Linked DNA regions of Kluyveromyces lactis. The protein of the gene in region 1 interacts with the protein of each later gene in a biochemical or structural test. Links are inferred from orthologs where the notes say so. Each region holds a gene or a part of one and is shown in the gene's direction. Other genes may lie near its edges. The genes, in order: ATG11, ATG32 and YPT1.

Evidence for each region.
Region 2: the proteins of ATG11 (region 1) and ATG32 form a complex in vitro, tested with the Saccharomyces cerevisiae proteins (2 studies listed by BioGRID). The link is inferred for Kluyveromyces lactis from reciprocal best matches to the Saccharomyces cerevisiae genes ATG11 and ATG32.
Region 3: the proteins of ATG11 (region 1) and YPT1 form a complex in vitro, tested with the Saccharomyces cerevisiae proteins (2 studies listed by BioGRID). The link is inferred for Kluyveromyces lactis from reciprocal best matches to the Saccharomyces cerevisiae genes ATG11 and YPT1.

Annotation. Positions count from the first base shown.
Region 1 is NC_006038.1:1,057,311-1,069,139, forward strand, and holds ATG11 (autophagy protein ATG11), read left to right. Parts: upstream 1-1,547; coding exon 1,548-4,688; downstream 4,689-11,829. Other genes in the region: POL30 (proliferating cell nuclear antigen), read left to right, coding at 1-460; peptide alpha-N-acetyltransferase MAK3, read right to left, coding at 547-1,083; TAH18 (NAPDH-dependent diflavin reductase), read right to left, coding at 4,690-6,564; MSF1 (phenylalanine--tRNA ligase), read right to left, coding at 6,923-8,311; MRPL16 (mitochondrial 54S ribosomal protein uL16m), read left to right, coding at 8,681-9,346; RFC5 (replication factor C subunit 5), read right to left, coding at 9,498-10,565; APL3 (Apl3p), read left to right, coding at 10,915-11,829. UniProt on the Saccharomyces cerevisiae protein: Involved in cytoplasm to vacuole transport (Cvt), pexophagy, mitophagy and nucleophagy. Recruits mitochondria for their selective degradation via autophagy (mitophagy) during starvation, through its interaction with ATG32.
Region 2 is NC_006037.1:56,227-67,501, reverse strand, and holds ATG32 (mitophagy protein ATG32), read left to right. Parts: upstream 1-1,530; coding exon 1,531-3,105; downstream 3,106-11,275. Other genes in the region: SLN1 (histidine kinase), read left to right, coding at 3,657-7,124; RPL40A (ubiquitin-60S ribosomal protein L40 fusion protein), read right to left, coding at 7,397-7,775, 8,315-8,322; MLP2 (Mlp2p), read left to right, coding at 8,952-11,275. UniProt on the Saccharomyces cerevisiae protein: Mitophagy-specific receptor that recruits the autophagic machinery to mitochondria and regulates selective degradation of mitochondria.
Region 3 is NC_006040.1:454,694-464,367, forward strand, and holds YPT1 (Rab family GTPase YPT1), read left to right. Parts: upstream 1-4,802; coding exon 4,803-5,417; downstream 5,418-9,674. Other genes in the region: TUB2 (beta-tubulin), read right to left, coding at 568-1,917; PER33 (Per33p), read left to right, coding at 3,179-4,045; SND2 (Snd2p), read right to left, coding at 5,733-6,278; ACT1 (actin), read left to right, coding at 7,033-7,042, 7,823-8,940; KLLA0_D05379g (uncharacterized protein), read right to left, coding at 9,507-9,674. UniProt on the Saccharomyces cerevisiae protein: The small GTPases Rab are key regulators of intracellular membrane trafficking, from the formation of transport vesicles to their fusion with membranes.

The DNA of each region.
Region 1 (11,829 bases):
AAAAAGAGACCGTGTCAGTGAATACTCTTTAAAATTGATGGAAATCGAAACAGATTTCTTGGAGATCTCTGATATGAAATATGAATCCTATATTACAATGCCATCTGCTGATTTCGCGAAGACCGTACGTGACTTAAGTCAATTGAGTGATTCTATTAACATCTTAGTCACTAAGGATACCATCAAATTCGCCGCAGAAGGTGATATCGGAAGTGGGTCCATTGTTGTGAAACCTTTCACCGATTTGGATCATCCTGAAAGTTCAATTAAAGTTACCATAGAAAAACCAGTAGATTTAAGGTTCGGTGCTAAATATTTAAACGACATCATTAAGGGGTCCTCTCTATCAGATACAATCACTATAAAATTATCGGAAGAAGCGCCAGCCCTTTTCCAATTCGATATCTCAAGCGGTAATTTGCAATTCTATTTGGCTCCAAAGTTCGATGAAGAGGAATGAAATCTCTTTTCGCAATGCTATATATATATATATATTGTGTGTGTATTAAAATGACAATTACTGATATAAAATCAATTCAATTTACTTTAGAGTATGGTGTCGGTAGGAAAGGAATCCATCCCCAGGAATGTGCTTCTCACACAACTTTTCTCTGTAATCGGTAAAATGAGTTTAAACGCATCTCCCTGGTTCAAATAATACCGGAATAATCTCTTCATTCTGATGAAGCCCATATTCTCGTATAAATGCAAAGCAGCTGCATTGCTGCATTCAGTCTCCAACATAATCTCGTCACATTTTTCATCAATCATAGTATCTATAGCTAAGGTAATTAGTTTTTTCGCTATCCCACGGCCTCTATATTGTTTCTCCACTGCTAACATGCCAATGTATCCTCTTAACCGCACTCCATTATGAGTATCGCTCTTGCATACTATACATCCTATGGGCTTACCCGATCCTTCTGCCCATGCCAAATACGTTAGGTTCGGCCATTGGTTTAGGAAAAATCTGTACACGTATATCGAATATGGCTCACTGAGATCCTCATCGATCAATTTCTTGATGGTGGAAAACTCCATGTCATTACTGATATCGAATCGTGTGTACCTTATTTCGACCATCCTTTGCTTAGTTTATCTGCAGTATACTTTCTTATTAATTTTTAATTAGTTATATCAATGAGAGTAGATGCTGCCGAAGCTAGCGAATATAAAAAGCTTTACTTAAAACTGTTTATCTCATCATCTGGAGGTTTAAAACCAAATTTTTATAATAAAAGCATATCAGTCACGTGCTCTTGCTTCACCAAACTGATTCGAAAAAAGATTATATGGACCCCCCGGTAAGTTTTATAGGTGAGAAAACCTGTTACATAGTTTTTCAGTCCCCTGACGTTTATCGGCTCTTATTCCACTTGTTGCTTACGGCTTTAGTACTCCAGATTAGATATATCTCAGCATTTAAAGAATACTCATGATATAGAATCCTGTGAGCTAACACCCCCCATTTCATCATCATTAAATCGACATTGTCCCTTTATTTCTTTCCAAAGTCTTAAGGTTACAATCTGATAATTTTATTAATAATGCCGCCATGCAAGTTGATATGTGCTACATCAGGAGTTTCACACCAATTATCTAATGTTTATTTCCCTAGTTTCTTAGATTTGAAACAGTTTGCAAGTGATACTTTCCAGATACCGCTCGATGACATACTTCTATTGTTACCTTATGGAATGATATTGAAGAAAGCAGGATGGGATTCCAGAAAGCTGCAACAAGAAGGATTGGAAGAAATATACGTATTTGACCGTGGAATATTCAATGAGGAGATCGAGTTTTCCCCAAAGCCAAGGTTCCAACTTTTCAAACCTTTGCCATCGCCGATAAGCGATTCGTTACAGTTGGATAAAAATGTCATTCTACGGAATTTAGGGTGGTTGAAGGCTTTGCAATCAGACGTTGAATTTTTCCAGGACGTTATAAAAGAAACTTATCAAGACGTTCAACGGTTATTAGAGTGTGGTACTGTTATGCTTGAGTATTTGAAAAACTACTGCTATGAAGTGGAGGTGCTGTATAATGGCAACGTTGATTTTCTTAACAAGCTTCACGAAGATGGTGCCTCAAATCAATGGCATTCCTTTTATGATAATATTCTCGGCAATATTAAAGTTTCTAATCAGTTATTATCATCATTTTTCAATTATAGCGAGCTAACAGAGATCGAGGATTCCATTCACCGTCTGGATCGTGAACTAAATGCGAAGTTAAAGGAGTTAAAGAAAAGTATTGATGAATGCTACCAGCAGAGAACACAGTTAATCTCAGATTTAGATGATGTGAAAAAAAATTCAGTTGTCAGTTCTGATGATATGGACAACCAAATGGTTGAACGATTTAAAGAAATGGCTACAGAGATTGAGCTTGTATCAAATCAATATAAAGAAGAGGCTTCTAAAGATGCTTCAAAAGAGAAGTTTGAAACATTCAAAAGTGTACATGTCCCCAAATTACAAACAATTTCGCAAGCAATGTTCAATAAAGCTTCCACGAATTTAGATACAAAAGCTACTGTCCAGCAGAAGTTGCAACAGTTGTACCTTTCCGTTGCAAAATCGCAGATGAGCGTAATAATGGTGAAGTCGGTGTTAACTAAAGACGTTAAGACCAATATGAAGTTTTTGAAGAATGAAGAACTGAAATTATCTCAAGTATTGGATTTGCCTATGTGTTATGGATTGTATTTGATTGAGTTATACAGAGAGCAGCTCTGGACAGACCGTTACTCTCAACTTCGACAACAACATGAATCTTCATTGCAGCATCTTTTGGATGACGAAGTACGACAAAGAAACTCTTGGTACAAAGATTTCCAATGGATAACTCGATTTCTAGATGTTGATAGTTTGCTACCATCATCAGTATACATTCCGTCCATAAGTGATCATAAACAGGTGACATTGTCTCAGATTAAAGATTATATTAATCAACTTGCTTCATTGAACTTAGGTGAACCTACAATTAATTTACTTAAGTCAAAAGTCTCGCAGGCGGAGCTGACAGGCTTGCATTTACCTACAGATTACGCGCTCTCGAAGGACTCGGAGCTTATCATTGAAGGATACAAGGCTCGTATCAAAAAGCTAGAACATTTATTACTTGATGCACAGTTCCATCAGTACGACTCATGGCCAGCTGGCATTCTGAATAAGGAAACTGCAATGGTCCAAATGTTCCGCAATAGTACCGTGAGCACAAAGTTACAGCAAAGTTCAACATTCGATCTCCCAAGTTCCAAACAACAACACGAATCAAATAAAACCTTCGAGGAATTTCAAAACCTGCAAAAGGATATAAGCAAATACTCTGAATTAACCAAGACCCTTGAAACTGAACTTTCAACACTTAAAAGTCAACTTTCCCATATGGAGGTCGAGAAAAATGCTTACAGAGAATCCATGACAAATTTAAACAAAGAATTATCAACGTTGTTGATTGAACGCGAAAACTTCTATTCTGAAATGAATTCTCGTTCGGAGAATTTCAAGAAGCATTTAGGATCCCTCTTTGAGCAAAATGAGGAACTTGTAAGGGAATCTGAAGAATCCCGACGGAAATCCGAGGATTTAAACAAAATGAAAGAAGATCTTCTTGTCAATATGGCAACCCAAGAAGTTCAAGCAGAACAGGAACGGGCTTCCTTGCAAGAAGAAGTTGAAAGTCTTAAAAAAGATCTTAACCAATTGCAAATATCAAAAAGCAAAACAATTGATGCAGAGTTTATCAACTTTAATAAGCAATTGGAAAAAACTTTATATGATGTTTTCCAAGGTAGTATTTTCATTTTGGCGAGTATCGGGTTGTTACTTTCCAAAGATCAAGATGGAAACTTTCAAATTGTTCGCGTCAAAGGTTTAAGAAAAGATCTGGATTCAAGTTTGGCTGATATGAATAGTTCCATGGCAAAAAGTGTAATTGCACAAGAAATAAAGAGTACTTTCGAATCTATAAAGGATCAGATTGACTACAAACCTCATGAAAATTTCATTACCTACATAGAAAAACTATTTGGTAACCAATTGTTCGAAACGTCAGTGATCCGCAGGTTCAATGATATCGAAAGTTTGGCGAAAAAGCTTAGGAAAGAGAACAAGAATAAAAAACTCCTTTTGCAGAAAAGTGCTAGAGACAAAATTACAATATATAACTTCCAACCGGGAGATCTTGCTCTTTTTTTACCAATCAACGATCAGGAATTGCTATTAAATTCTTCAATATCGTCGCTAAATTCTTCATTTTCATCCATTGATTTAAACTCATCTACACAGTCTGTTATGCAACGTCCAAATGTTGTCAAGTCTGATATTGCAGCTAGCATTCTTAACGGAAGCTCTGCTTCTATCACAGAAAATATTCCATTAAGTAAAGCGAACAGGAATCCTGCACTCAACGCTAATGGCAGACCGGATACATTCAATGTTAACACCCAAGATTCGGCCAAGAAGCATGTTGTATGGGCAATTTTCACTGCGACAAATACTGATATCAAATACGTTCTTAGAAACTCAACGTCTAATTACGAATTATTGAAAGATAGGGAATGGGCAATGGGTAGAATCTCGGCCTTGGAAAAGCATGTGGTTGGAGATGATTCAAAGAACCCCTTTAAGTTTCCAAGAAATACCGTGTGGTATGAAGTTGACGCTTTTTTCAATCTTGACTGAACTACCATGTCTCTTGCATATACCTGTCAGTTCTTTCCATTTCTTTTAGATAATGCTCGGCTTCTTCTGCGTTTTCGAAGTTTCCATGTTTTTTCAGGATCTCAACTATAGTCAACCTAACCTGAACTGGCATTTTACCGGAGGATCCACAAATATATACTATGGCAGATTTTTTCAAAATTAGGTCTGCTATTAGACTAGATTGATTCCACAACTGATCTTGAACATACTTAGCATGAGGAGAATTTATGGGATCCCGCGAAAAACAAGTGAATAAATTAATTTTACCTTCTTTCTTCCACATAGATAACGTATCTTCATATAAAAAGTCCTTATCCTTCATTCTGTTACCAAAAAATAAGTACTGATCCTTGAATAAATTAGACTCGATCAAGCACTTCATTGGTGCGAGACCTACCCCCGGAGAAGTCATGATGATAGGTTTGCCAATAATATCTTCATGAAGTAAATGATTATTTTGAAGTTTATAACGAACTGTATCGTTTTCGGTTAATGTAAGTAGGTAGTTCGTGCATAGTCCTTTCCGTACCTTTCTTAACAAAGTCTTATAACGAACAATAGCAATAGTTAGTTCAACATTAGGATCAGATGGTGCACTTGAGATGGAATAAAATCTGGGCTTTATCATGGGTAGATAATCTAATGCGAACTCCCATGGAAGTTTTAAGAATTCAAAATCCTGTATAACCTCTAATACTGATCTTCTTGGTCTATTGCAATAATCATACAAGTCCTGTAGGTCTTGTCCATACCCGAACTGTCTTAGTTTATCCCTCTGTTGTTCTAATAGCTCTTGATCGGTTGGTCTATCTTCGTGAGCATTTGCAAAAGTCCAAGTTTTCATGAAGAAGCTCTGCCTAGGTATACTGACGATATCAAAATGATATTTTAACAAGGTTCTTAGAGTAAGTGGTTTCACAACACCACCATCTCTGAACCGATCACAATTTTCCAGGTCTGTTATTGTAAGAAGTTCATCAGCGACCTTCTTCCAATGAGGTTGAGCTTCGAGGAATAATTCAACGTCATTGTCTGAATTTTCGGGATATAAAGAAACTGTATCGCCTGGATGATAGGCTTCATGATCCTCGGTTTCAAACACAAATTGTCGAACGTCCTGAAAATGATCTTTAGCAGTTATTTGGTTGTTTTTCTTAACGGTTCCATGTCTTATTGTCTCATCTCCAACAAATTGAATCTTAGAATCAGGTAGCTGATCATTTGTCGATCCATTAACAGTGGATATTTCTAATATATTGCTCGGTTTCAAGTAAACATCTTCGGCTAGGCCTACTCTGGGCATCATTTTGCCATCGTGCTTTCTGTTGGGGTACTTCTCTAACATGTAGGCGATGATTCTTTTCTCAAATTCATAGTAGACGGATTCAACTCCATTTCCAGTATCCTTATTACTCCCAGCAAGTCCCAACTCATCAGCTTCTAAGCGTGGAAAAATCTCACTAGCGCCAAGTTGATTGACAATACGTTCATGAAGCTTTCTGATACCAAAGTTGAATCTTGGATACGAGGAATCACCCAACCCAAGCATGGCAACGTTAACATGATCTAAAAGATCCGCAGGAAGTGTAGATTTCTTCAAAAACTGCCAGAGAGTCCCCTGAGCCCGTCCATTACAGTTCTCTCTTGCGTTACGCGGTAGTTCTCCTTGTCCAGTCGTAGAGCAGATGATAAACAGGTACTTGCACTGCAGAACGCTTTTCGGATGGTAATCACCGATCTTAATCAATGTATGTGAGAAATGCAGTCTCTTTAACTTATGAGAAAGAATATGCGCAAAATCTTGCGCATTTCCTGTCTCAGAACCATACAATATGACAATCTTCTTGTTCTGCATGGTTTCAGTAGTCCGAAATACTTCTTAGCAGCTTTAAATGTGTCTTGAATCGTTTACAGTATATAATCTTTGATGTTCATCACATGTAATATGTAAGCTATCTCAGTATTTTTCACCTTGAAATCTTGCTGTTAAGAGAGATATGCGATAATAACGATGAACAGACGATGAATTAATGACAGTGTCGTTGTATTTCTTCTTAGATAGTGTTCAAAAAGAACTGTATGGTTACTAATTACCCACAGATCTTATTGATCACTAACCGTTACATATTGAAATGAATTTTTTTTATACTATTAACATGAAATCGCATCACTAGTAAATACGACGAATTTATATATAATATTTTGTATCTTGGTTATCTCAGTTCAACGCCGTATAGTTTCACCAGGGTATCACGAACTTTATCCTGCAGCTCATTGACTTCCTCGTTGGTGACGTTTCTGTCCATTGATTGATAGTTAATACGGTAACATAATGACTTTCTACCGGTTTTGGGGTGTGTGAATGAATCAATTAATTTGACACATTCAACCAAATCTCCTGCTACGTTTCTAACGATTTCCATTAGATCATTCTCATGGATAATGTCAAAGTTCTTATCTGTTGGAAGCCAGAAGGCCACGTCCCTGATGGTACCTGGATATTTAGAGTACGGTTTGAATTTGTTGATTGTGCCCTCTTTGAATTGGGAATGGAACCTTTCGTCAAGGGTCCAGAATAATCTGATATCAGGGATCTCGAATAATAGCATTGCAATGCGGTCAAGGCCTAATCCAAAAGCCCAACCGATGTTTTGATTTTGTTCATATCCAGCTTTTAATAAAACGTCTTCACGGATAAGACCGCAACCGCAGAGCTCAAGCCAATTGTTTTGCCAGAACACTTCAATTTCCCATGATGGTGCAGTCCATGGGAAATAAGCTTGAATCCATCTAACCTTCAACTCTTCTCCCTTCACGTTACCCATACTTGCCAACTTTCTCTTGAAGACTTCCAATACAACAAGCTCCAAAGATCTTTTCAAATGGCGAGAACATAAATCGACTTCTTCCATCGTCATGTATTCCTGCTTTGGATTACCTTCCAAGGAAACGTTATCTTCCACGACAAGTTTCACTGGGTCGTCTGCCAAAGTTTTCTCCAATCTCTCGAGATCTTCTTTAATCTTTAATAAATGTTGGTTATCCGGTTCCCTTTTCCAAACTCTACCACCTTCCATTTGATGGAACACCGGATAATGAGTCCTGTCAATCTCATCTCTTCTATAGACATCGGCAGAGATTAAAAATCCAGGCTTATCAGTCTTACCCACATGGCCAGGAACAAACCCATTGATATTCTTGAAACATTCCAACTCATGGGCAGATGTATGCGTTCTTAACAGATGACAATCGTTCAAGTAATAGGTATCAGATTTCGATCTACCGGGGTGATCTTCTGGGAATCCCAAAGAATCAAAATTCTCATGTACCGTAACCGCAGGTTTGAAATCGTTATAGATCTCGAATGAGTGATGAGGGTCGTTCAGCTTGTCCTCGATAACACTTCTTAAGATCCCAACAGGGTGTGATGGTTTCAAATAAACAGCGCGATCAGTCAAATTCAAAATCGAACTAGTTACATTCGTCTTATCTGATACTGGGTACGTCTTTCCATTCACAGAAAGTGTCTGTAATGCCACATTGGAGGTGCTAAACAACCTTAAACATGGTCTCAAAGTTGACAATATCGTCCTATTCGACATCGTTTCGGTATTAAAGAACCCTTAATAACAGTAAAACTGGGGCAATTCAATCAACAAAACAAAGGTAATCCCTTAGCAATGATATTACTAGTGATATTTCACTGCCTGAAATCACCAGAACAGGTATATCAAGTGTTGTTTAACGAGACTTTTGTATCTTCTTTTGAATGTATGTAGAAGGTCACATGATTTCAAGATATCTTCAACTTCACCAAAAATTTTTCAATAATGAAAAGCTTTAAGAGTAAGTAAAAGAAGATCCAGAGCATAGAAATTGATTTGAAAAGCAGCATAAAACAGTCCCTCGCGCCTCATTGCAAGGATCTTATTTCAGATCAGTGAGCCTCCTTTATCGTAAATTAGATCACCATGTTTTCCAGCGTTTTCAAGACTGGATTTCGCTCACTAAATCCATTAGAAAGTCTGCAAGTAACCGCTAGGCGTTTTACACATGAATATGCTCCACGTTTCAAGAACCAGACTAAGAAGCAAAAGGGTCGTGTGCCAGTGCGTACCGGTGGCTCTACTAAGGGTAATTCGCTTCAATTTGGTCAATTTGGTTTAAGATTGAAGTCTGAAGGTGTGAGACTTACTGCGTTACAGTTGAAGGAAGCCGATAATGCTATTATGAGATACGTTAGACCTTTGAATAACGGTCAATTATGGCGTCGTTTGTGTACAAACATTGCTGTTTGTATCAAGGGTAATGAGACCAGAATGGGTAAAGGTAAGGGTGGATTTGACCATTGGATGGTCAGAGTACCCACCGGTAAAGTGATCTTTGAGATGGCAGGTGACAATCTACACGAGAAAGTAGCACGTGAGGCGTTTAGAAAGGCAGCAACCAAGCTTCCTGGCCTATACGAATTCATATCGAAAGATTCTCTGGTAAGAGTAGGTATCAAGAGTGTAAAAGATCCAAAGGACGATCCAAAGATCAATTACTTTGAAGAACTAAAGAAGAAACCTACAAAGGAATATATTACAAAGTTGAAGTCCCAGCAACCGGAATATAGAATGTTCAGGGCTCGTTGAAATAGATCGATGTGTGTATATAAACGACTCTTTTACGTATAACTTTTGTGAGAGCTAATCCCACTATCTGTAAATAGGCTATCAAAGATTCAAGATTTAAAGTCCCAAATGAGTAAAGTTTGGTTGTTTGTCAAACTACAAAAGTTAATACTTACGTATATTTATCTATTTCACACATTGTCCTTGCAATGAACCCTTCTAAATGGTAGATTGCTTTGTTTCCAAGGTTGAGACGGTGATCAAAAGTGCATGCAGTATCGATAATTGCCAACTTCAACGGATCTGACTGGGCATCTGAAAGCAATTGCGTCGTTAATTCATGGACTATGGTTTTGGCAGGAATACAATGGGCTAATAGATCATAATTTATGGAACGGCATTCTACAAGGTTATTAACAGTTCTTTCTTTTAATATTTTCCTAGCCATTTTATGGATCACCAATTGCCAATCAGGTCTGTTCAAAGGTGTATCGTTTCTTAAATGCAATTCATTTTGTAGTGAGGTAGATTCTAGTGCTAAGAGTGACATTCTCAAGTTCCCCTTTGACAGATTCGCTATCCTCTCTAGACAATTGCCCTCGGCAGTTATTTTTTCTTTGGAACAACAATCCTGCAGGATAGACACAGTTTCTTGCAAACTTGGTGATGGTACTCTAACTAGCAAGCAACGAGACTTGATAGGAGCAATGATACTGGACATTGAATCACATAGCATTATAAGCCTGATGTTACCAGAGTATTTTTCCATAGTTCTTCTTAATGCTGCCTGGGCATCTCTAGTCAACGAGTCTGCCTCGTTGATGATAACGCACTTGTAACGATGTGCCAAACCATCCTTGGAGTCCTGGAAATCTACTTGTTCCATTTGAGCGACTTCCTTAATCAATTCTTGTATCACAACACGATCGTTGTTACCAATATCGCTCGGAGTAATCTCTAAATGGTAGGGACTACTGACTACATTCAACTCCAGCTTACGGTTGGATGGTGTGACGAACTGTCTAACGTCGATCTTCAGCTTGTAAACCCCAGAACCAAATATTTCTTGCAACAGTGCCATACATCTAGTCTTCTTACCAGCACCATTGGGTCCATAGAACAACAGATGTGGAAGATCTTGAGGTTGTCTCGTTAATGAGTACAATTGATTTGTTAATTCTTCATTGTAACTTAATGACTGTAGAGTCTTTGGTCTATACTTATCAACCCACAAAGACATTCTCGTATAGGAATTTTAAATCTTGTTAGTCGATGTAGCTCAATGTAACTCGCTGGAATGGCTCGTTCGCCTGCTATGCGTTTTGATTAATTGTCTCTCAAGTACTTTTCGTGATGCGTTTTATTAACAATTTCGCCAAACGTTTCTTCACGTTGACATTTTGAAATTCAAATGATTTCAAGTAGACGTAACTTCAATAGCCTTAAAACAACAACATCAAGTTAGATAGTATACCAGCAGTAGGTACCATTTTTATCTGTACACTTACTAGTTGTTATCGATTAGCAGTGCCACTTGATTATCTTCCTAGTTATTTGGTGTCTTACAAGTCAGAATCAAGAAATTAACAATGGCTTTAGGTCAGAATCAACAGAACAACATGAAGGGTTTGCAATTGTTCATTGCAGACCTTCGAGCAAACCAGAAGACTAAAGAGCATGCTAGGAGAATACAAACTGAACTACAGAATATACGGACTCAGTTTACCCAGAAAAGTGGGCTCAATGGGTATCAAAGGAAAAAATATGTTGCTAAGATGGCATATATATATATCACTACTAATGCTGGCATGGTTCCTGAGTTGTTATTCGGATTGGATCAATGTTTCCAGTTGTTGAAAAGCAGTAACTTCAGTGAAAAATGGATTGGTTATATGACACTTGAACTCCTTTTCAACCATGCTGTTGTGAGAAACAGCGTCCTGGAGAAGACTATTTCATGCTTGAAACTGGATCTATCATCTGGCGACGCTAATGCAGTAAGCTTGGCGTTGAACTTCGTCGGAATAGTTGGGAATCGTGATGAAATCTTTGCTGATAATCTAAGTGAGACGATATTCGGAATTCTTAGATCTCCTGTCTCATCAGCCATTTTGAAAAGAAAAGCATGCTTGGCGTTTTTAACTTTAATTCGTTATAAACCGCAAATCCTTACAAATCTTGAAGATAATAAACGAACTCTATGGATTGAAAGAATTACTACATTATTAGGGGATGAGAACGATCATGGATTATTACTTTCACTTTTGCCTTTACTTGAGTTTATAGCTAGAGAGATTGACGTTAATCCATGTTTGAGGTTAATCCCGCAACTAGCTGAGATTTTGCATGAATGTCTATCGAAAAAGCAGAATAGTGCAAATGATGCAGATTACCAATTTTCGGGAGTATCTAACCCATGGATTGTAGGGAATTGTGTATCTCTTTTACAAGTCTTGGTCAGCGATAACGGAGAGAATTTGATCGGATCGAATATTGATCAACAG
Region 2 (11,275 bases), on another chromosome or scaffold:
TTTTTTGATATTATTTTCAGTTTTTGATTTTCAGCTTTTTTTTCTTTTGTTGTAATCTCTGCGAAGGATGATGGTAGGATGGAAGAAAGAAGAAGAAAGTACAATCACGTGAGTGTTCATCTCAGAAGTATGGATGAGGGAGCCTTCTGAGGTTCGAAGGAAGCAAGGCGGTACTTTAAAAGAGATGAGATCAACAATCATTCGTGCAATGTGATTTGATGGTCTTGTTTCAGCAAGGGATGATACAGATTCCCTCCCCTTTCAAAAGAAAAGATCAGGAAACCTTAAACGCTGATTGCTGCTCCTGGATGAGAGCTGAAAAGATAACGGAAGCAGGGGCGCCAATAGGGTAAACCCGGTCAAAACGGGTGTGGCAAGACCCAAATAGAGCTAATTAAATCTGCTTGTTTTTTTTCGTAACCTAATGAACCGCTAGTCAGTGCACTCATGTTCTATATAGTGAATACACAATGACCGGAAAATATTGTCTCTCCTCAGGTAATCTTCACTAGCCTCCCTTGTTCATAGAAGAAGTGTGCGACCACTGAAATTCTTGCAATACATTTAAGGTTTTCTTAAAACCTCAGTCAAAGTCATCTTAAAATGTTGCTTGCACCGATATCAGTGTGCTGCTCCGATTTGTAATCTACAACAGTGTCTCTAGCATAGTCACAATATATATATATATACATCAGGCAACATTCACTTGCATTTTATTATATATTATCGCCAAGAGTGGATATATTAAAAAAAAAAGGTTTAAGATCGTCCGTTGAAAAGTCGTTCTTCACACACTTTGTGGTTATCTTTTTTAACTATTTTACCGTTTGTTCGATCAACTAAAGCTCACCATAGCGTAAACTGAAGGGATAAGGCTTTCTATATTAGTTGTTGAGTGGAGACTTTTTAGTATTTTTCTCCGCTTGGTACTATTTCATTATTATAGGTGTCAAGTTTTAAGTTTCAAGTGCCAAGCATCAGCCCGTGACTCAATACCACATAGATTCACAAAAGAAGAGTCGTGTAGTGTTTGTCACACTGAAGAAAACACATATCAGAATCTGCATTTTTTTTTTGATTTTTTTCCTACTAAGCTCTGACGTTGAGTGGCTGAACTAAAGTTGGAGAAGCTACTTTTATTTTTATAGATCTGTTGATTGATCCTCTAAACGTGTCTGTGTTTGTTGTACCTTAAACCAGTCTTTTGTCCCTCTGATTTGTATTCAAATTTCTTTTTGTTACATTACTTAAAGGTACGCTGATATTGATTTATTAATATTACAAAGCTCTTAAGGGTTTATTCCTCCTTGATTACTCTATTTGGGTCTTTTGAAGAGGTATAGTTCACAGCCATAACTCTTGTCTCTGATTAACTGATAATCTTTGATTTTTATTCGGACTCTATTCTTCTCCTTTTCGCGAAGTCTTAGAGTGAGCTAAGAACTCATTTATAAAGGGGTTTGCTAGTGTTTGTCGTATTGTCACTACAAAGGGTCAGTTGAATATTTTACTATTTTTTTCTGTTAACAGATGTCTGGGTCTAAAGGGGTCTGGGGTGCACCTCCTGGTAACAATAATCGTCAGTTATATTCACTAGATGCTGGAAGCAGCGGCAGCGGTGTTAGTGCCAGTAGTGCTCAGCGACACAGTATTCTCGATCCACATGACTCAGTTATGGATTTATTGAACGGACAGCAAAGCTGTGCATTCGATTCCAGGCTGATCCAAAATCAAGATTTAATCGATAGGAAGGGTAAAAGTAACAATATTGATCATAATGATATTAATACTCACACTCATAGTAAAGGACTCACAGATTCATGGCAGGCCATTGATCGGGATGAATATTCTTTTTTAAATGCTGGAAATCATAATAACTATCATAATACCTCAAATGGCGACTTCAATCAACAATTTGGCGGGGTGTTATCATCTGACACTTCTGAAGAAGAGGTTGAAATTAATGCTGCTCCTTCGCCTAATTTGAGTGCTTCTCAGCAGCACAACCAATTTCTAGCCTATCCTTTATCATCAACAGGTTTTGGTGATCAGGGAAATAGTGAAACTACAGTCCATCAGTTTTCTGACGGTGATCCAGTTAAATCGACTAAAACTGGTCAATTTTCAAAAGCAGAACTAGGTGCTGGCACTGGCGAAGATGAGACGATAATGGTCAATTTGGGCCATTCTTGGGCGGGCAGCTTTTTTGTTATGCCGAAATTGTCCTTATCGGAGTCTATGAAAAGATTCAAGATTTTAATTTTGAGCGATGGAGACTCAGCTAACTCTTTCTATAACCGTCTATCTCGGTATCACCGACTAATGTTTGACGTCGGAAAACTCAACGAAGCTTCAAAAGAGGAAGCATTGAAATATACTGCTTTCATGATAATCTTTTCAGATTCAAAGAAAGTGACTACAATCCTAAATAGAATGTGGAAGAAATACGGAGATTTCACTTTGATTCCAATATGTCAAAAGGGTCAGAAGCAAAGCGTCACGGAAAAGGTCAAAACATTTGCTAACTCTAACAAAATAAAATTGATGTCGTACCCTGTGGTAATATCCGATCATTACGAGATACACGGGTTGTTGCGGCATTTGCACTCTCTATACGTTGAAGTAGATTCTGACTATGAGACGGATATACCTAAAAAAACTAAACCAAGAAAAGGTGCAAAAAAGAAGCCGGCCCCTCATCTTGCAAAAAGATGGTGGTTTTGGCCAATATCTATAGCGCTTGGCGTTGGGATTGGGTGTTGCGTCACCTTTTATTTCAGCAAGTTCGAGACTTCCTCGTATAATTCATCAGTTGGGGTTATTCAGACAGCAGATAAGGAGATCGATGCTATTGTTGACGCTATAGAAGGAAATTCACCGTCAATACTTGAGGAAAGCTCTCCGCAGTCAATTTCTGATTTCTTGGGTCAAGTGTGCAAATTAGTTAAGGATACTGCTATCCAGATCAATGAATTATTAAAGCAGTTTCTTTCGGCTCATTTAATGACGTCTGCTTGGATTCAATCCATTGGTAAAGAATTCATGCAACCTGACTCGCAGAGTACCATTTCAAAAGTCACTGCTTTGGATTTAGTGATGTTTTGAACCGGGGTACGTTTATATGCTGCAATTTGGTGTATGTAGTGATGTAACTAGATGTTGTTTTTTTCAAAAGTATGAATTGTTGCCCAACTTTTGTTTTCAGATTGAGCCTTCAATATACAATTTTAGTCCCTAAATGTCAATAGCACAATATTCAATTCTGAGACTTTATTTCAATCTGTTTTTATTCCCAAGGTTTCTCATTTAGTGATTTGTCTCAACTAAGTATCCCAGTTCATATAGGCTATCACAATCTATGTCACTTTAGACAGGATACTTTTTGATAAGTTGTGTATTTTATTTTTGTTTACTGTACAGGCTTGTGACATTTTTCAAGGTTTAAACCCTTACTTTATGTTAGTAAAAGATCCTCATTCACAAAATGAAAAACTTAGATGAATTAAAAGAAAACAAAGATCAAAGTTTAAGAAGTTCATTGGTTCTTGATAGGAGACGTCATGAGGGGATTGTAAATTGTCTGTCATTAATACCAACCTAACCTGTATTCCAGACTTCAACCTCGTATGCTAACTATCGGACGATAATAATTCACGATGTTGGCAGGCTTAAAGAGACGTTGCAGTCTTAAAGCTCTTCGGGAACGGTTTACACCGCCGTTTAATGTTGGTTTACGAACCCAACTTATTATTCTCGTGTGCTCTATTTGCGTTTTATCGTTAACAATCATTACGGTTACTACTGGGGTTTATTTCACAACGAACTACAAATCCGTACGAGCTGAAAGATTACAGGTTGCAGCACAATTAAAATCATCACAAGTTGATCAGAACTTGAATTATTTATACTATCAAATATATTGGTTGTCTACAAGAGACACATTACAAGATGCGTTAGTCAATTTTAGAGCTGGTAATTCATCTAGAGATAATTGGAATTCTGCAGAAGACAGTTTAGAAAAGTTTCTTGGTTCTTCAGGTTTGTTCAGTGCTGCTAGAGTTTATGATACGTCTTTCAACACCGTAATAAACTCCACCAATAATGGGTCTGGTGACAACATTCCGGAAAACGTTTTAGCAGAGCTCTTTCCTCTATCTGGCGTAGAGCCTTTGTCTTCTTCGCTACTAACTACGGGTATCGTTACAGATCCGGTATATAACTGGACAAATTACTTGTTGTCCATGTCATTGCCAGTTTCAACAAATCCATCTATTATTCTGAATACTAACGAAATTGCCGGCTATATTACTGTCATTGCATCGGCGGAAAGTTTAAAGGCTGTTGTAAATGATACAATTGCTTTAGATAAGTCATCCGTATCAATCCTATCTGCTGTTTTCGATAGTAATAGTTCACTGACTGGTTATCATTTCGTTTTCCCTCCGCATGGAACCTCATCATTCAGTTCAAAAGTGACTTTTCCAATTAAGAACGGCACGTTTATAGCTGATGCATTCGAAAATGGGAAAGTTGGTTCAGTTATGAAAACAAATATGGTTCAGGAGAGAAACATAGCAGTAGGGTATTCACCACCAACTTTTAAACTTGTAAATTGGGTGGCCGTTGTTACCCAACCTGAACAAGTATTCTTGTCTCCCACTATACGGCTTATGAAAATCATTGCTGGTACGGTGTGCGCTATTGCCGTATTTATGTGCTTATTGACTTTCCCTATAGCACACTGGGCTGTGCAACCTATAGTCAGACTTCAGAAGGCTACTGAAATCATTACATCTGGGAGAGACTTAAAGCACTATAGCAACACTGGCAATTCAGATTCAAATACTGCAATTACACATTCTAGGACTCGTAGCACATCTAACCAAAACCAGGTGATGAAGCTGTTCAACAAATCTGTCACCAAAGGTACGCCCAGTAATTATCTGAATCACAATTATAATGTTTTCCCTCCAAGTAGAACAGATTCACCAAGCGTTTCCGCAAGAAACTCACAGACTATACCCAGAGGCCCCGGAGACCTGACACGTTCAGCTACTACTGGATCTACCCCATTTTCTAATGATTCTTCTTCATATACCTCCGAACGATATATCAAATCAACCAACCTAGTGGAAGCATATGTCCCAGTATACAGAAGATTTTTTCAAGATGAACTATCAGAACTCACAGATACATTTAACACAATGACAGATGAGCTAGATAGACACTATGCTCTTTTAGAAGAAAGAGTTCGTGCTAGAACAAAACAATTAGAAGCGGCTAAGATTCAGGCCGAGTCTGCAAATGAAGCAAAAACAGTTTTCATTGCCAACATTTCTCATGAATTGAGGACTCCACTAAACGGTATCCTTGGTATGACTGCAATTGCCATGGCAGAAACTGATATGCAAAAAGTGCAGAACAGTTTGAAGTTGATTTTCAGATCAGGTGAATTGTTGTTGCATATTCTAACAGAACTTTTGACTTTCTCTAAGAATGTCTTAAAGAGAACAAAATTGGAGGAACGTGACTTCTCCGTTATGGATATTGCTTTGCAGATTAAATCCATCTTTGGCAAACTAGCAAAAGATCAGCATGTTAAATTGTCCATTGCCCTTACACCAAATTTCATTAGAACTTTGGTATTATGGGGTGATTCAAATAGAATCATTCAAATTGTTATGAATCTAGTCTCAAATGCTCTAAAATTCACACCAGTTGATGGTAAAGTTGATGTTAGGATCAAATTGCTTGGCGAATACGACTCAAAAAGGAGTGAAAGTGTCGATTATCAAGAGGTATTTGTGGTCCCTGGTTCTGAAGCAAATGATGATTTTGAGTTCAATTTAACTTCAACTACTCCCATGAGGCTTCCTTTCAATTCTTCTAGTGGCAGCGTTAATACTGCTACTAAAGATGGATCAACTTCCCCAACAACTAAGACAAAAGAAGGCTCAATTCAAGTCGAATCCGAAACGTCAACGGAGGGCAATGACAACGATGAAAGTAGCATTGTTCTTGAAAGTAAGCACGAAGAAAACGAAGACGAAAAAGAAAAGATGTCAATATTATCTACAAGTACTTCAAGCTCTTACGATGATGCAATTTTCCATTCGCAGTTCAAGAAAGTTCTGTCTTCAACGGATTCAGATACGGAAGAGAATACGTTCAGAGATCTTAAGGTACCAAAGACTTGGGTTATAAGTATGGAAGTGGAAGATACTGGCTCGGGTATTGATCCTTCACTTCAAGAATCTGTTTTTGAACCGTTTGTTCAAGGTGATCAGACGCTCTCTAGACAATACGGTGGAACTGGCTTGGGCTTATCCATTTGTAGGCAGTTGGCAAAGATGATGAAAGGTACAATGAAGTTGGATTCGAAAGTTGGTGTTGGAAGTAAATTTATTTTCACTGTGCCACTACAGCAAACAAAAGAGATAGTATTCGATGGTGCTGAAAAACAGTTTGAAGATGAGTTCAATATTCACAGCAGGAAGAACAGAAAGGTTAAATTTAAAATCAATTCCTCTAGGAAATCTGTTCAAACAAAGAAATCTAAATCTAGTATCGACGGACATAGCGATAACAATGTCAGTGAGAGAAAAGCCAGTAATTCTACTGAAAATAGCGTTGGGAATGTTCGTGTTGATAGACCATTTTTACAAAGTACGGGTACGGCGACCAGTACTAGGAGTATATCATCTGTAGCAAGTGAAGTTACTCGGCATAGAGTTTTGGTTGCTGAAGATAATAATGTCAATCAGGAAGTTATAAAAAGAATGCTTCAGTTAGAAGGACTCACAGATCTTGATATGGCATGTGACGGACAAGAAGCTTATGAGAAAGTTGAAGAAATCTTAAAGAATGGCGAATCCTACTCCATGATATTCATGGATGTTCAAATGCCGAGGGTGGATGGGTTGTTGGCTACCAAAATGATCCGGAATGATCTATTATATAAAGGGCCCATTGTTGCGTTAACCGCATACGCAGATGATAGCAATATTAAAGTTTGTCTAGAAAGTGGAATGGATGGTTTCCTACCAAAACCCATTAAAAGACCATTGTTAAAGAAAATAATCGCACAGTACTGTTCGAAAAAAGAGAAACAGAGAGAAGAATAGATTTGCGAATGTAACATTATATAAAACTTAAAGGTACTCATACACATGTATATTTCCGACCCTTAATACATTCGATGTGTTAAATATCCAGTACAGTGCATTACCGACAGTCACACAAAGCAACGCTCAGGAACGTTCAATGATATTAAACAATGTTAAAGAAGATTTATATTTAAATCAAAATAATAGATCTGTAAAGCTAATATGAAAAAACACATATGATAGTGAATGTGCGTAAATATGTATGTACTCCATAGTGGTAGCAGAATCGACTATTTTAACTTCTTCTTTGGACGCAATTGGTTGGTGTGACCACACTTTCTCTTTCTACAGTTAGTAGCTCTTGGTGGCAATCTAGCGTAACACTTTCTGCAAACGGACTTTTCACAGTTGTACTTAGAAGCCAAAGCCTTTAAAGATGGTTCAATGATACCACCTCTCAATCTCAAAACCAAGTGCAAAGTGGATTCCTTTTGGATGTTGTAGTCAGACAAGGTTCTACCATCTTCCAATTGCTTACCAGCAAAGATCAATCTTTGTTGGTCTGGTGGGATACCTTCCTTGTCTTGAATCTTAGACTTGACATTGTCAATGGTGTCGGAAGATTCGACTTCCAAAGTGATGGTCTTACCAGTCAAGGTCTTGACGAAACTGTTTTCAAAAAGATATGATTTGTTAGTAAAAGTTTGAAACTCGATCAGAACAAAGTTCTTAAGGCAATCTTATTGGGACGATTCCTAGAATTAGTGAACGTTCAAGTTAATTTTGCTAGATTAGTAAAGCTTAATAAAAAACCAAAAAAAATTCCCTCTGTAGGTATGAATTGTTGTGCATTTGATAGTTAGGAGGTGATAGGTCCCATTAAACTGCTTCCTTGTATCCTTATTCATTCTGCAAAGCGTACTTGCTTTCGTTTGAAGAAATCGTGACATATATCTCACTCAACAGTTTAGACCGCGTACTCACACTCTCCGAAATGAAACGCTCAAGTTCTCACAGGATAGCGACTATCATGATATATGTTACACCAAACACAGTAAATCCTTGTCATTTTCATTAGTTGTTATCCGAGTTCGTCTTGTTGTTTTTTAGCTAATGTGCTTTCGTCCCATTTCAAAGTAGCATAAACCGTCTTGAATCACCAAGAAACCCCAAAATAAGATGCCTTTTGCTTATCATATTGTGCATACATTTGCATTTTTGAATCTTGTCCTTTCCTGATCTTTTTGATAGTAATCAACAACTAAGTACAGCTATCTTAAGTGCGTATGATTAAATGATATAATCCAAAATACTTTGAGTATGAATTCTTGCTTGCTTTCCTCAATCTGGGTTTGGTACATAGAAAGTTGGTGAACCTGAGGAATCGACAACGAGCAAAAACGAAGTGATTTCTGCAATTAGAAAATAAAAATACCGTTTTGAGGAATATATGCATTTTTAATTGTCAAGCCCCGAAATTTATACACCCAGACACACTGTTGAATAGTGCACGGATGTTGTTGCAAACCGTCCCAACTTGGAACGTAGAATTTTACTGGTACCGGTTACCCTGATTGTTAGTTTAGATACGACTTCTGTATTTCGTTCTGCAGTCAGTTCGTGGTATCTGGTCGTTATTTTGAATTTCACCGAATTGGACCTAATATTGAAATTGAACAAAAATTACCTGTCAAGAACAAAGCCTATGTGCATTGTATATGCTCATGTATACCTGCAGAAATTTTTAGTATACTTCTAATTGAATATCATAGCGATTAGCTTGAACACTAGGTAAAAGTAGCGTCTTATAGATTGCTATTCCATTGTTGTGTTGTGGAGTTGAGAATGTCCGTAGAACCCATTGCCTCTAGGGTCGCAGACTTTCTACAAGTCGACCAGCAACTGATACAAGACATTAATAATGATGTTTTAGGTAGGATTGAGGAGAAGTTGGAAGATCTTCGGAAACAAAAATCTGAAAACCTAAGAATAACTGCTACCTTGGATCAATTAAAATCTCAATCAGAGAACAAACTAGAATCATTCAAAATTCACATCTCTCAACTAGCCAAGGCATTGGAAGATGGGAAGGATGAGCGCTTACACTTTGAAGAAGAGAAAAGGCGTCTAATTGAAGGAAATTCACAAGTGACCAAAAGAATCATAGAATTGGAACAAGAAATAGAAGTAGAGAGGCAACAAAAAGAACTTGCTGACGCTTCTAAGCAAGATATTGCAGAGTCACTAAACGAAAAAATTGAAGAACTCAGTTCTACCAAAGCTAAATTGAATGAAGCACAGGGAGCGAATAAGGAACTTAGACAAAAAGTCGTCAATACTGAAACTGAGCTACAAACTCAGCAGGCCTTAGAGCTACGTTCGAAAAGCGAGATTTTAAGGATGGAACAAGAAATCACATTATTGAGAGAAAACAATGACTGGTTGACCAATCAGTTAAATACCAAGACCGTACAACTCAATGAGTTTAGAGAAAGCACAATTAGTGAATTACAAGATTCTCAGTTAAAGGTATCGAATATGGAATCAGAGTTGGAAATAGCTCGAACCAGTAATCAGAAACTAAAACAATCGGTACACAGTTTACATGAACAACTGGAGCAAAAACTTTCCGAGAACAAAGAAATTAAAGATGAGTACAATTTCTCTAAACAAGAGCTTACGAAAGAGATGTCTTTAAAGCAGAGAATGATTGATGCTCTAGAGAAACATATGGAATCATTGAAGAAAGAAATGGATGCTACAAAGAATAACATGGACTCATCATATTTCACCGAAAAAGAAAGAGACGAGCTCATTGAAGAGCTCAATGCGGTCAAATATCGTTTAGACGCATCTGAATCTAACTGCATAAAACTTAAGGAGACAATCGATGAATTAACATCCAACATAAAATTAGAAGACTCCGAAGTTGGTAATACCACTGCGTCTTCAGAAAAATCGGTTTCTGTCATACCTAAGTTATATGGTGATTTGGGAATGCTCAAAAAACAGCTGGTTATTGAGAAAAGACAAAAAGACGAGTTAAAAATGCAAGTGGAAGCATTCGTTGTTGAATTAGAGCATAAAATCCCTGTTCTCAATTCCTTCAAAGAGAGAAGTGAAATGCTTGAAAGAGAGTTAAATGAGGTTACTATTTTGTTAGAGTCAACTGGCAAAGACCGTGATCAAAAGTCGTCACAACTTGATTATTTGAAAGCTACTGTGAAAAGCTATGAGACTCAAATAGCCTCCCTATCTAAGCAACGTGTTGACCTTGCCCATCAGATACAGTACTTACTCGTGAACGAATCTATTAAGTCAGAGGATGGCGGACCATTATCCGCTGAAGAATTGCAATTTGTCAAAAATCTAACCAACTCTCAAGAAATAACAAAGACCTCTGACACTCAAGGCATTATAACCGATCGACTAGTAGAATTTAGATCAGTAGTTGAGTTGCAGCAGAAAAACTCCGAACTTCTTTCTACAATTCGCAATCTTGCTGATGAATTAGAACGCAGGGAAGCTGAAAACAAATCTCAAATCCAGGTATTAGAGGATGAAACGGTGAGAGAGGCAAAAGAAACCATTCTTACACTTCATGATCATGCACAGAACCTTGAAAACCAACTAGTCATTCTATCAAAGGAGAGGGACGCATACAAGGCATTGTCAGTAAATGCTAGCTCTGGCACAAACACACCTAAGGCCATTACTTACCCTTCTCCTGATAATGACGATAAAGTGAAGGATCTCGAAACAAGACTCACCGCTGTCATTCAAGAAGCAGAGAATAATGCCAAGGAATGGTCATCAGAAAACAGCAACCTGCGTAAGAAATTATATGAAATATCACTTAATTTCGAATCTGAGAAAACTTCACGTACTCTTGCAGAAGATAGGTTAAATCTATTACAATCAACTTTAGAGCTTTCCAAACGCCAATGTGAGGAGCTACAAAAAAGATCATCTGATCTACAAGATATTTTAACAAAACAGGACAAACGTACACAGGAGACTGTAGATTCCTTAATCAAAACGAAATCCACTTTGTCATCTATACAATCGGAACTATCCATCTTGAAGTCTGAAAAACAGTTTATGGCAAAGGTTCAAAAGGAACTGAAGGCAGAGAACGAAAGATTTTCCAAAGAAAGTGTCGAATACAA
Region 3 (9,674 bases), on another chromosome or scaffold:
TTTTTTTCTTCGGGTACTATTGTGAAAAATTTATTTCTTTTTGTTCTTGGTATGTTTCGTTGATCTGTGAAATGATTGATCAGGCCTGGGGAAGAGGATAAGTCATTGAAACATTCACATACTACTGTGTTGACATCTGAGTCAAATATATCATGAAGAATCACGTATTATAATGTGAAGACTAAAATTATGTAGTAAGATATGATATTATTAAAAAAAAATAGAAACAAATACTAAAGAAATGTTTTGGGTCACATTGATAGTACATATCATTGAGCAGAGAAACAAAAAGCATATAAATTATAGTAAGGGTGGTATCATATTTCGAAATTTTCCGCTTCTACTAGTGGTGTGGGGAATAGTATTAGAATAGTAGAAGTAACGAAAGGAAAACTATAAGAAGAAAGAAAATATCTTTCTGAAGTACATTGTTTATTGTTTATCTCGTGTCCAAATAATTTGCTTTCAGTGGTACTGCTCTCAAAATGATAAACTTATCTTCTGTACACATCTGATCTTTGTTCCTTATTCCTTTTTTTTTCCTGCTGAAGTTTTCCTTTATATTCTTTACTCGAAGTTTTCAGCCATTGGTTGTTCGTCAACGAATTCCAATTCTTCGTCATCTTCAACAGTAGCATCTTGATATTGTTGGTATTCACTTACTAAGTCATTCATGTTAGATTCAGCTTCAGAAAATTCAATTTCTTCCATACCTTCATTAGTATACCAATGCAAGAAAGCTCTCTTCTTGAACATAACACTAAATTGATCTCCGACCCTTCTGAATAATTCTTGGATGGATGTAGAGTTACCAATGAAAGTAGCAGACATGTCTAAGTCCTTTGGAGGTACAGAACAGACGGCTGTTTGCACGTTGTTTGGAATCCATTCTACGAAGTACGACGAGTTTCTAGTTTGAACCTTATGCATTTCATCTTCAACTTCTTTCACGCTTACTTTACCACGGAAGAATGCAGCAACAGTCAAGTACCTTCCGTTTCTTGGATCAGATGCAGCCATCATATTTCTTGAATCGAACATTTGTTGGGTCAATTCTGATACAGATAGGGATCTGAAAGATTGGGCACCAATCGAGGTTAATGGAGCATAACCAACCATGAAGAAGTGTAATCTTGGGAAGGGCACCAAATTCACGGCCAATTTTCTTAGATCTGAGTTCAATTGACCTGGGTAACGTAGGGATGTAGTGACACCAGACATGACACTTGAAACTAAATGGTTCAAGTTCGCATAATCTGGTTGTGGTAATTTTAGAGTAGTTTGACATATATCGTAAAGGGCTTCATTATCGATACAGAAAGTTTCATCAGCGTGTTCGACTAATTGGTGTACAGATAGAGTGGCATTGTATGGTTCTACAACGGTATCTGAAGTCTTTGGGGATGGGACAACGGAGAAAGTAGCCATCATTCTGTCAGGGAATTCTTCTCTGATCTTAGAGATCAACAAAGTACCCATACCAGAACCGGTACCACCACCAAGGGAATGGGCGATTTGGAAACCTTGCAAAGAGTCACAACCTTCAGCTTCACGTCTGACAACGTCCATGACAGAATCCACCAATTCAGCACCCTCAGTGTAATGACCTTTAGCCCACACGTTACCTGCTGAAGATTGACCGAAAATGTAGTTATCTGGTCTGAACAAAGTACCAATCTTAGAGTTACGTACAGCATCAATGGTACCAGGTTCCAAATCAATGTTAACGGATCTTGGAACCCATTTACCAGAAGAGGCTTCGTTAAAGTAAACGTTCAATCTAGCCTTTTGAATATCATCGATACCGTGATAGTTACCTTCAAAATCCAAACCGTGTTCACCACAAATAGTTTCCCAAAACGCAGCACCAATTTGGTTACCACATTGACCTGTGGACAAATGAATGATCTCTCTCATGTTTTAGAATATCTCTGAGCGCGTTATTGATCTGATCTCAAAAAATGACAATTGAAGAAACACAGCACAGGCAAATTGTAGAAAGACTTGGTGTTGATACAATCGAGGGGTATCTATAATCCAGTAATTGTTGATCCTTGTTCTTTCAAGAAAAAAAAATAATTATGCGATCTCTCTGTCCTTTACAAGAAAAAAGTGAAATATAATATGGGTAAAAATAGTAGTCTTGTCCACAGTATATTAAACAAACAAACTAACAAATCGAAATAGACGAGTTCTCACAGCTGTTATCTATAAAGTTATCTCTAACCCGTGCAAGCCTGTTCACAATCACGTCTGTGTTCACTTATTTAACCACTTTAAATTGTTTATTTATTTGTTTTTATTTGTTTATTTTTTTCCTCCTTCTCTTTCCTCATATCTTTGTTTGTATTTTGATCTTTGTTTCACTTCTTTAGGCAATTTTCGAGCACGTCTATTTCCCTTTGTGGGTTGCTAAGTGTGCGGGTAATACGGGAAACGGAAACTTACATCGCGTGATTTGCACGTGACTGTGATGTGTGAATTCCTGCGTAGTGTCAGTTCATCTAAAGACAAGAGTTGAGGTTGCAAGTGAGCAACACATTCCCCTAAGATTTAGAATAGTTGTCGAAGTGTTCCATGAGTCCAAAGACTGAACAGACTATTTTCTCGGATCATTTTCTTCACAGCTGACTTTCCGTATATGATAGAATCATACGGAAACTGGAATACTGCAATTTTCCCTAACTTTCGATTCTAGCTGACATTTAAAGACGATGTGAAAATTTAAAGAGAAACGGATTTCAGGATTAGGAAATTTAAAGAGGGAAAAAACGTCCAGTACAGTTTGTTAAGAGAAGGAAACCTATTAGTTGGAGAAGCGAAAGAGGGTTTGACTAGTTGGAATTGATCTGTCCAGTGCTACATTTTTATGTATATAGTAATCGGAAGGTTACTTTGATTAAGCTACGGTATTCTATTTCGAACCGAATCGAATCGGATCAGGTTAGCAGGTCTCTTTTTTTTTTTTTTTTCTTATATTTTTGGCTATCAATTGATTAACTGATTGTGTATTGAAGACGAAAGCTGTTTACATATTTAGCTTTTCAAGGTGTTTTTGTCATCGTTGATTGTGAACTCTTAACTTAGCGGCTCAATAGCAGTTGATTATCTCGTCTCCAAAAGAACTTTCGTGAGTTAGTTACTAAGGTTTCATTTTAAAGGTTTTCTTTTCAAGAAGATGTCTGAGGGAAGTGGCAATGGCAGTGGTAATCGTTATTCCAATGCTGCCGGTCAAAATGGAGGCAACAGGCCTGCTCAGAGACCTGTAGCCCCTCTGAGTGCTGTGTTCCGTACGAAGTTGAAACAGCCTCAGTTCTATTGGTTCCTTGGTCACACGTTATGCTTATACTATTATATCCAATATATGCTCTCATTCCGAGAACAAAGTGTAAAGACAAATTACAGGAAGATCATGCTATACACAGTGATCAGTTATGGGATTGTGCTTCACCAATATGTGAAATCAAAACAGTTAAGATTCCAGTGGTCGAATTTAAAACAGCAGATCAGACAGTTGGATAACCTACAATATTTTACACTTTCCATTGTTCTTTTGATATGTTCTCTATCAGGAGGGAAAACTTTAACTCAAACTGAATCATCTATGGTTATATACTCTTTGTTCCATGCATTGAATTATTTCAAAGAGAATGTATTGCCATTCATTCCAATGAACCCCATGTTAAAAGGTTCATTGTCAAATAAAATCTCGTATTTCATCACCAATTTCAACGGGTCTTTCTTCCATGCTGCAGTGATGTCAGAACTTGTAACGATGTGCAAAGTGTGTCTCATGCTGCCCATACAGTTAATCTCTGTGCTTATCACATTCAATGCCAAGAGTTTATTCACACTTCTATCAATCTGGGCATACGCTATATTCTTTAAGTTAAGATACAATCAAAGTGAACAAATGAGGTTGCTATGTAACCAGAACCAAATGATGATTGAAAACTTCATCTCAACTCGTTTGCCTATGTTCATGGACAAATGGTTAGGCATTAAACATTTGGCTAAAGTCTTCTTTGATAGAATCCTTGCTTGAAAACGCTAGAACCAGTTAGAAACTCGAAACTTAAGTTCATTCATAGAGTCTTCCTGCAAGTTAGTCAGTAGAGCATCTAGATATACACATGCATACATATATATGTATCTTAACTTAGAAAAAACTCATCCAAGCAAAGATTCTTGCATTCGCATCTTACATCCTGTGAGATTTTGTAGAGTTTCACATCTCCCCTAAAGATTACTACGAATCATTCCTATCAGTTACCTGAACTTTGTAATGTCTTCATCCATTTCATTACTTGTCCGAAATAGTTCAGTGTAGTGTAACAGGTTCATTACTGATCTATATCAACAACACTGTGTATTTCTGTGTCACGTGATGGTAATCTTTTGTGGAATCTTTTCCGTTCAGGAGAACAAAATTCAAACAGTGAAACCTGGACCGAAATACATTCTATTAAGCAACAATAGCATAGTTTCAGTTATTCCAAATGCGGTTTGATAAGACGCTTGCTTTTTTTCTGGTTACTGTTGCATATTTACTGAAAGCTTAACTAAAGGATAGACTTTTATTTTGGGGTTGTTATCATATTTTATCTTATACTTCCTTTACTCATTTTCTTTAACGGAGAGATATTAACAACGAGGGATACAGAAAGGTGTGTTTAAAATAGAGAAATATTGTAAACTTACAACGCAGTCCATCCAATCACAACTTACAAAAGGAGCCCATATTTTTTAACAAACAGTCGAATCGTATCAGTCGCTATAAACTACAAGCAAACAAAGAAAAAATGAATACCGAATACGATTATTTGTTCAAATTATTGTTGATTGGTGATTCCGGTGTTGGTAAATCTTGTTTATTGTTAAGATTTGCCGATGATACCTATACCAACGACTATATATCCACCATCGGTGTTGATTTCAAGATCAAGACTGTTGAGTTAGATGGCAAAACTGTTAAGCTACAAATTTGGGATACTGCCGGTCAGGAAAGATTCAGAACTATTACATCTTCTTACTACCGTGGTGCCCACGGTATAATTATCGTTTACGATGTAACAGACCAAGAATCCTTCAACAACGTCAAGACATGGTTGCAAGAAATCGACCGTTTCGGTACAGCTGGTGTGTTGAAGTTACTAGTTGGTAACAAGAACGATTTGACAGATAAGAAGGTGGTTGACACCGAAGTTGCTAAAGAGTTCGCAGATTCTATTGGAATTCCATTCATCGAAACCAGTGCACTAGATTCTTCTAACGTTGAGGAGGCCTTCTTGATCATGACCAAGCAAATCAAGGAAAGTGTCGCCAAACAACAAAAAGATAATGGTAGAGCTGAAGACAAGTCCAACGTCAACTTAAAGGGCCAATCATTGACTGGATCCAATGGTGGTTGTTGCTAAATTGGATAGCATCATCGCTATGTTACTATACACTAAGTGTCTGAAAAATCAGGAACTGAATTTAAGAACTGTCTGATAATTACCATATTTCGAAGAATTAATATCCCGTATACATCACAAACAACATTAAGCACCATTTGCCCCACATAGCTTTAACGAAAGAGCCGGTGGTTGTCTATTTAGAGCCTATTATAGTTAGACTTAATTTCAATTACAATCATTATTCCTTTCTTTCTTACTTTCTCTATATATAAGAGAATGTATTCGTAGATATATGATGGATATAGTATATACAACCCCTTCTCTAACATTAATCTATCGGTATCTTACCTGAGATTTATCACCACGTTTTTCCCTCTTCAATTGTCTCTTTGATTTGGAAGGTTCAGCGGGCGTTGTCTCTGCGAGATCCGCCTTTGAAGCTGAGGCACCGGGGAAATACTGTTGCTTCAAGTAGTACAACTTGTAGAAAATAAACGCAGGGCACACTAATACCAAGAACCACCATTTCATCGTGTTGAAGAAAACTGTTCCCAGGTTACAGAACAAGGAAACATACACGATATCTTTCATGTATTCAGTGAGTCCACCAGATTCCAAATCGAACCCTTCATTAACTAGTTTATATTTTCCATGCGCAGCGTTACTGACTTCATATTTTGGTCTACCGGTACGTTCGAGAATATATAAACATAACAACATCGGCACATTGAAAAGAATAGGTTTTAGGGTTGAAATCAGCCCATTACTGAACCATTTCCTCAATAACGTTAAAGATAGTATAGCGACGACTAGTACGTGCAACTGCTTTAAGATGGCTGCGTTCTTTGCAGCAATCTTCTTGGACGATTTTCCAGCCATTCTACAATGGGTGGGTGAGATTCTTCAGAGATAGAGATAGATGTACATAAATGTACTGTCGAATATTAACCTGATCTATTAATACCTTCCCGTTGCTTCAATGATAGTTGATGATGATCCACGTAACATATATTCACGTATAGATTTCAACTGCCGAGTCATTATAATCCGGGTAACGTACATATATGTCACGTGATTTTGAATATACACATTAATATACGGAGGATTAAGACGATATGCGGTCATAATGAATTGTAAAATAAACCAGATGTACTAACATCCAGAGATCGATAACTGCCTCATGAATACAATATACTACGATATAACTATTCTACCGACAGCCTACCAACGTTATATCAAACTTCCAGCCTTCACAAAGCCTTCAATTGCAAGTCCGCCCCTCCAGCTGTACAGTGAATCCCACGTAACCACTAGAAAACCATTACCGCAACTGCTCCGCCTCGTGGACAATGACAATCGTCTCCTATTTTTCATCAGAATTCTTTTTTTTTTTTTAATTTGTTTTTTCGAAATTTTCTCTTCTGTTTCTCTGGACAGCTAGTGCGATTTATTGTATGAGAGAGTTTGAAATTTGATTTAATTTACAAGAAAAATAAGAAATATCTTGATTTGTTTCCTCCTTCTTTACTGTCTTTTACGATCCAAAGAGAAGAAAGGTTGTTTCAGAATAACGGTTTTTTTGTTGATTGCAAAAGGAATTGTACAACATCTTCACGCGCTATAGTATAACAATATGGATTCTGGTATGTGTGGAAACGTATATTTGATTACGGTGGGTTAATTGGGTGGTTAAAAAGTTTGGATATGTTTTATTACTTTGTTAGGTTTCCGGTTAAATGTTGGGAGGGAAAAGATAGGATAATGGCAGCGCTTTGCGCTGCCATTGTCCATTCTCTAACTCCCTAAATCAGATTTAGAATTAGATGTACAACGCTAATTGAATGGGTTTTTTTTATATATAGGGGTTTGGATTAGAAGCTTTGTTCGAGAATTGGATCTTTCATTTCCTGGTTCTACCTTCTTACTATAACGTGTTTTTCTTGGGTTTTGGGTGACTAACTTTGGATTTTGGGTTTTTTTTACCTGATTTAGGAGGCGAATTGGAAAGAAATTTGGAAAATATAGGCAAAAAAAGATAATTTGATGTCACGTGATGATGTGATTTTATATTACAATGTTATTCCTTCCAGTCCAAGAAGGAATCAAAGTACACCTTTAAGTGGTGCAGGCATTGCCCCTCGTGGTTCGGTTGTCCCTATTTTTTTTTTGATTTATTTTTCTGGTTGCTAAGGTTAGCCCCTATTTTGTCCGCGACAGGACTTTTAGCGTTGAACAATCACATAACCTCATGATCACCCAAAATGCACCTGTTACTTTTGTTTTCTTATCTTATGTTACTAACAATTATTTTTCTATTTGGGATGGCTGAATTCACTTTTTTGGAACACCTAACCTACCCAAACGTACGGTTTAGTTCCTTAATCTGCATTCTGCTACTCGTGATGGTTTTTTATTCTAAACAGAGGTCGCTGCTTTAGTTATTGACAACGGTTCTGGTATGTGTAAAGCCGGTTTCGCCGGTGACGACGCTCCAAGAGCCGTCTTCCCATCCATCGTCGGTAGACCAAGACACCAAGGTATCATGGTCGGTATGGGTCAAAAAGACTCTTACGTTGGTGACGAAGCTCAATCCAAGAGAGGTATCTTGACTCTACGTTACCCAATTGAACACGGTATCGTTACCAACTGGGATGATATGGAAAAGATCTGGCATCACACCTTCTACAACGAATTGAGAGTTGCTCCAGAAGAACACCCAGTTTTGTTAACCGAAGCTCCAATGAACCCAAAGAACAACAGAGAAAAGATGACTCAAATCTTGTTCGAAACTTTCAACGTTCCAGCCTTCTACGTCTCTATCCAAGCTGTTTTGTCCTTGTACTCTTCTGGTAGAACCACTGGTATTGTGTTGGATTCTGGTGACGGTGTTACCCACGTTGTTCCAATCTACGCCGGTTTCTCCTTGCCTCACGCTATCTTGAGAATCGACTTGGCTGGTAGAGATATCACCGACTACTTGATGAAGATCTTGGCTGAACGTGGTTACTCTTTCTCTACTACCGCTGAAAGAGAAATCGTCCGTGACATCAAGGAAAAGCTATGTTACGTCGCTTTGGACTTCGAACAAGAAATGCAAACTGCTTCTCAATCATCCGCTGTTGAAAAGTCTTACGAATTACCAGATGGCCAAGTTATCACTATCGGTAACGAAAGATTCAGAGCTCCAGAAGCTTTGTTCCATCCATCTGTTCTAAGTTTGGAAGCTGCTGGTATCGACCAAACTACTTACAACTCCATCATGAAGTGTGATGTTGATGTCAGAAAGGAATTGTACGGTAACATCGTCATGTCCGGTGGTACCACCATGTTCCCAGGTATTGCTGAAAGAATGCAAAAGGAAATTACCGCCTTGGCTCCTTCTTCTATGAAGGTCAAGATCATCGCTCCTCCAGAAAGAAAGTACTCTGTCTGGATCGGTGGTTCTATTTTGGCCTCTTTGACCACTTTCCAACAAATGTGGATCTCAAAGCAAGAATACGACGAATCTGGTCCATCCATCGTTCACTTGAAGTGTTTCTAATCTCCTTCACTTTTTTTTACTTGACACTCTTATAAAAAGAATACAATTAAAATAAACGATGAATCGATTCATATAGATGAACCCAAAAATTGAAGCTTATGAAACAAAAAACTAACAATTATTAAAACTTCATATAGGGACGATTTTACTCCAAATCTTCTTTGTTTTTATAATTTTGTTTTGTGTGTTGTTTTTATTTATCTTCGATCGCACAGTCATTATTCAAGTTCCAATCTTCTATCTTATGTTGTTGGAATATTCTACTTCATATAAATGAAGTGGGTAGTTTAGTATGAAAGTTAATAAGTTAATAAGCCGAGATTATATACGAACGAAATTCAAATTCAACATTAAAATTAAACAACTCCAATTGAAAGTTATATACGGCAATTATTGAATATTCGTGCGAGGCTAATTGCTTAAGTTGATCATCTGATAATTTGAAAAGGATTTAAAATCATCATATGTTCCAGAACAAAGATTTTTAGTGTTGAAAGTTATTCTTAGTTTATGAAATAGTAAATTATTTAATATGTACAATAGATAAACAAGACTAAACTAATAATTCAACGTTCCGTCACTTCAGTGGTAGTAGTGGTACACACAAATGAGTCAGGTTCTGGCGCACCAGACCTCTCGGGAATACTTTCAAAATCTGCACTTTGATCCGACTCTATCTTTTCATATTCAACTTCTGCTGACAGCGCGTCTTGTTTGAATAGATTGTCAATATC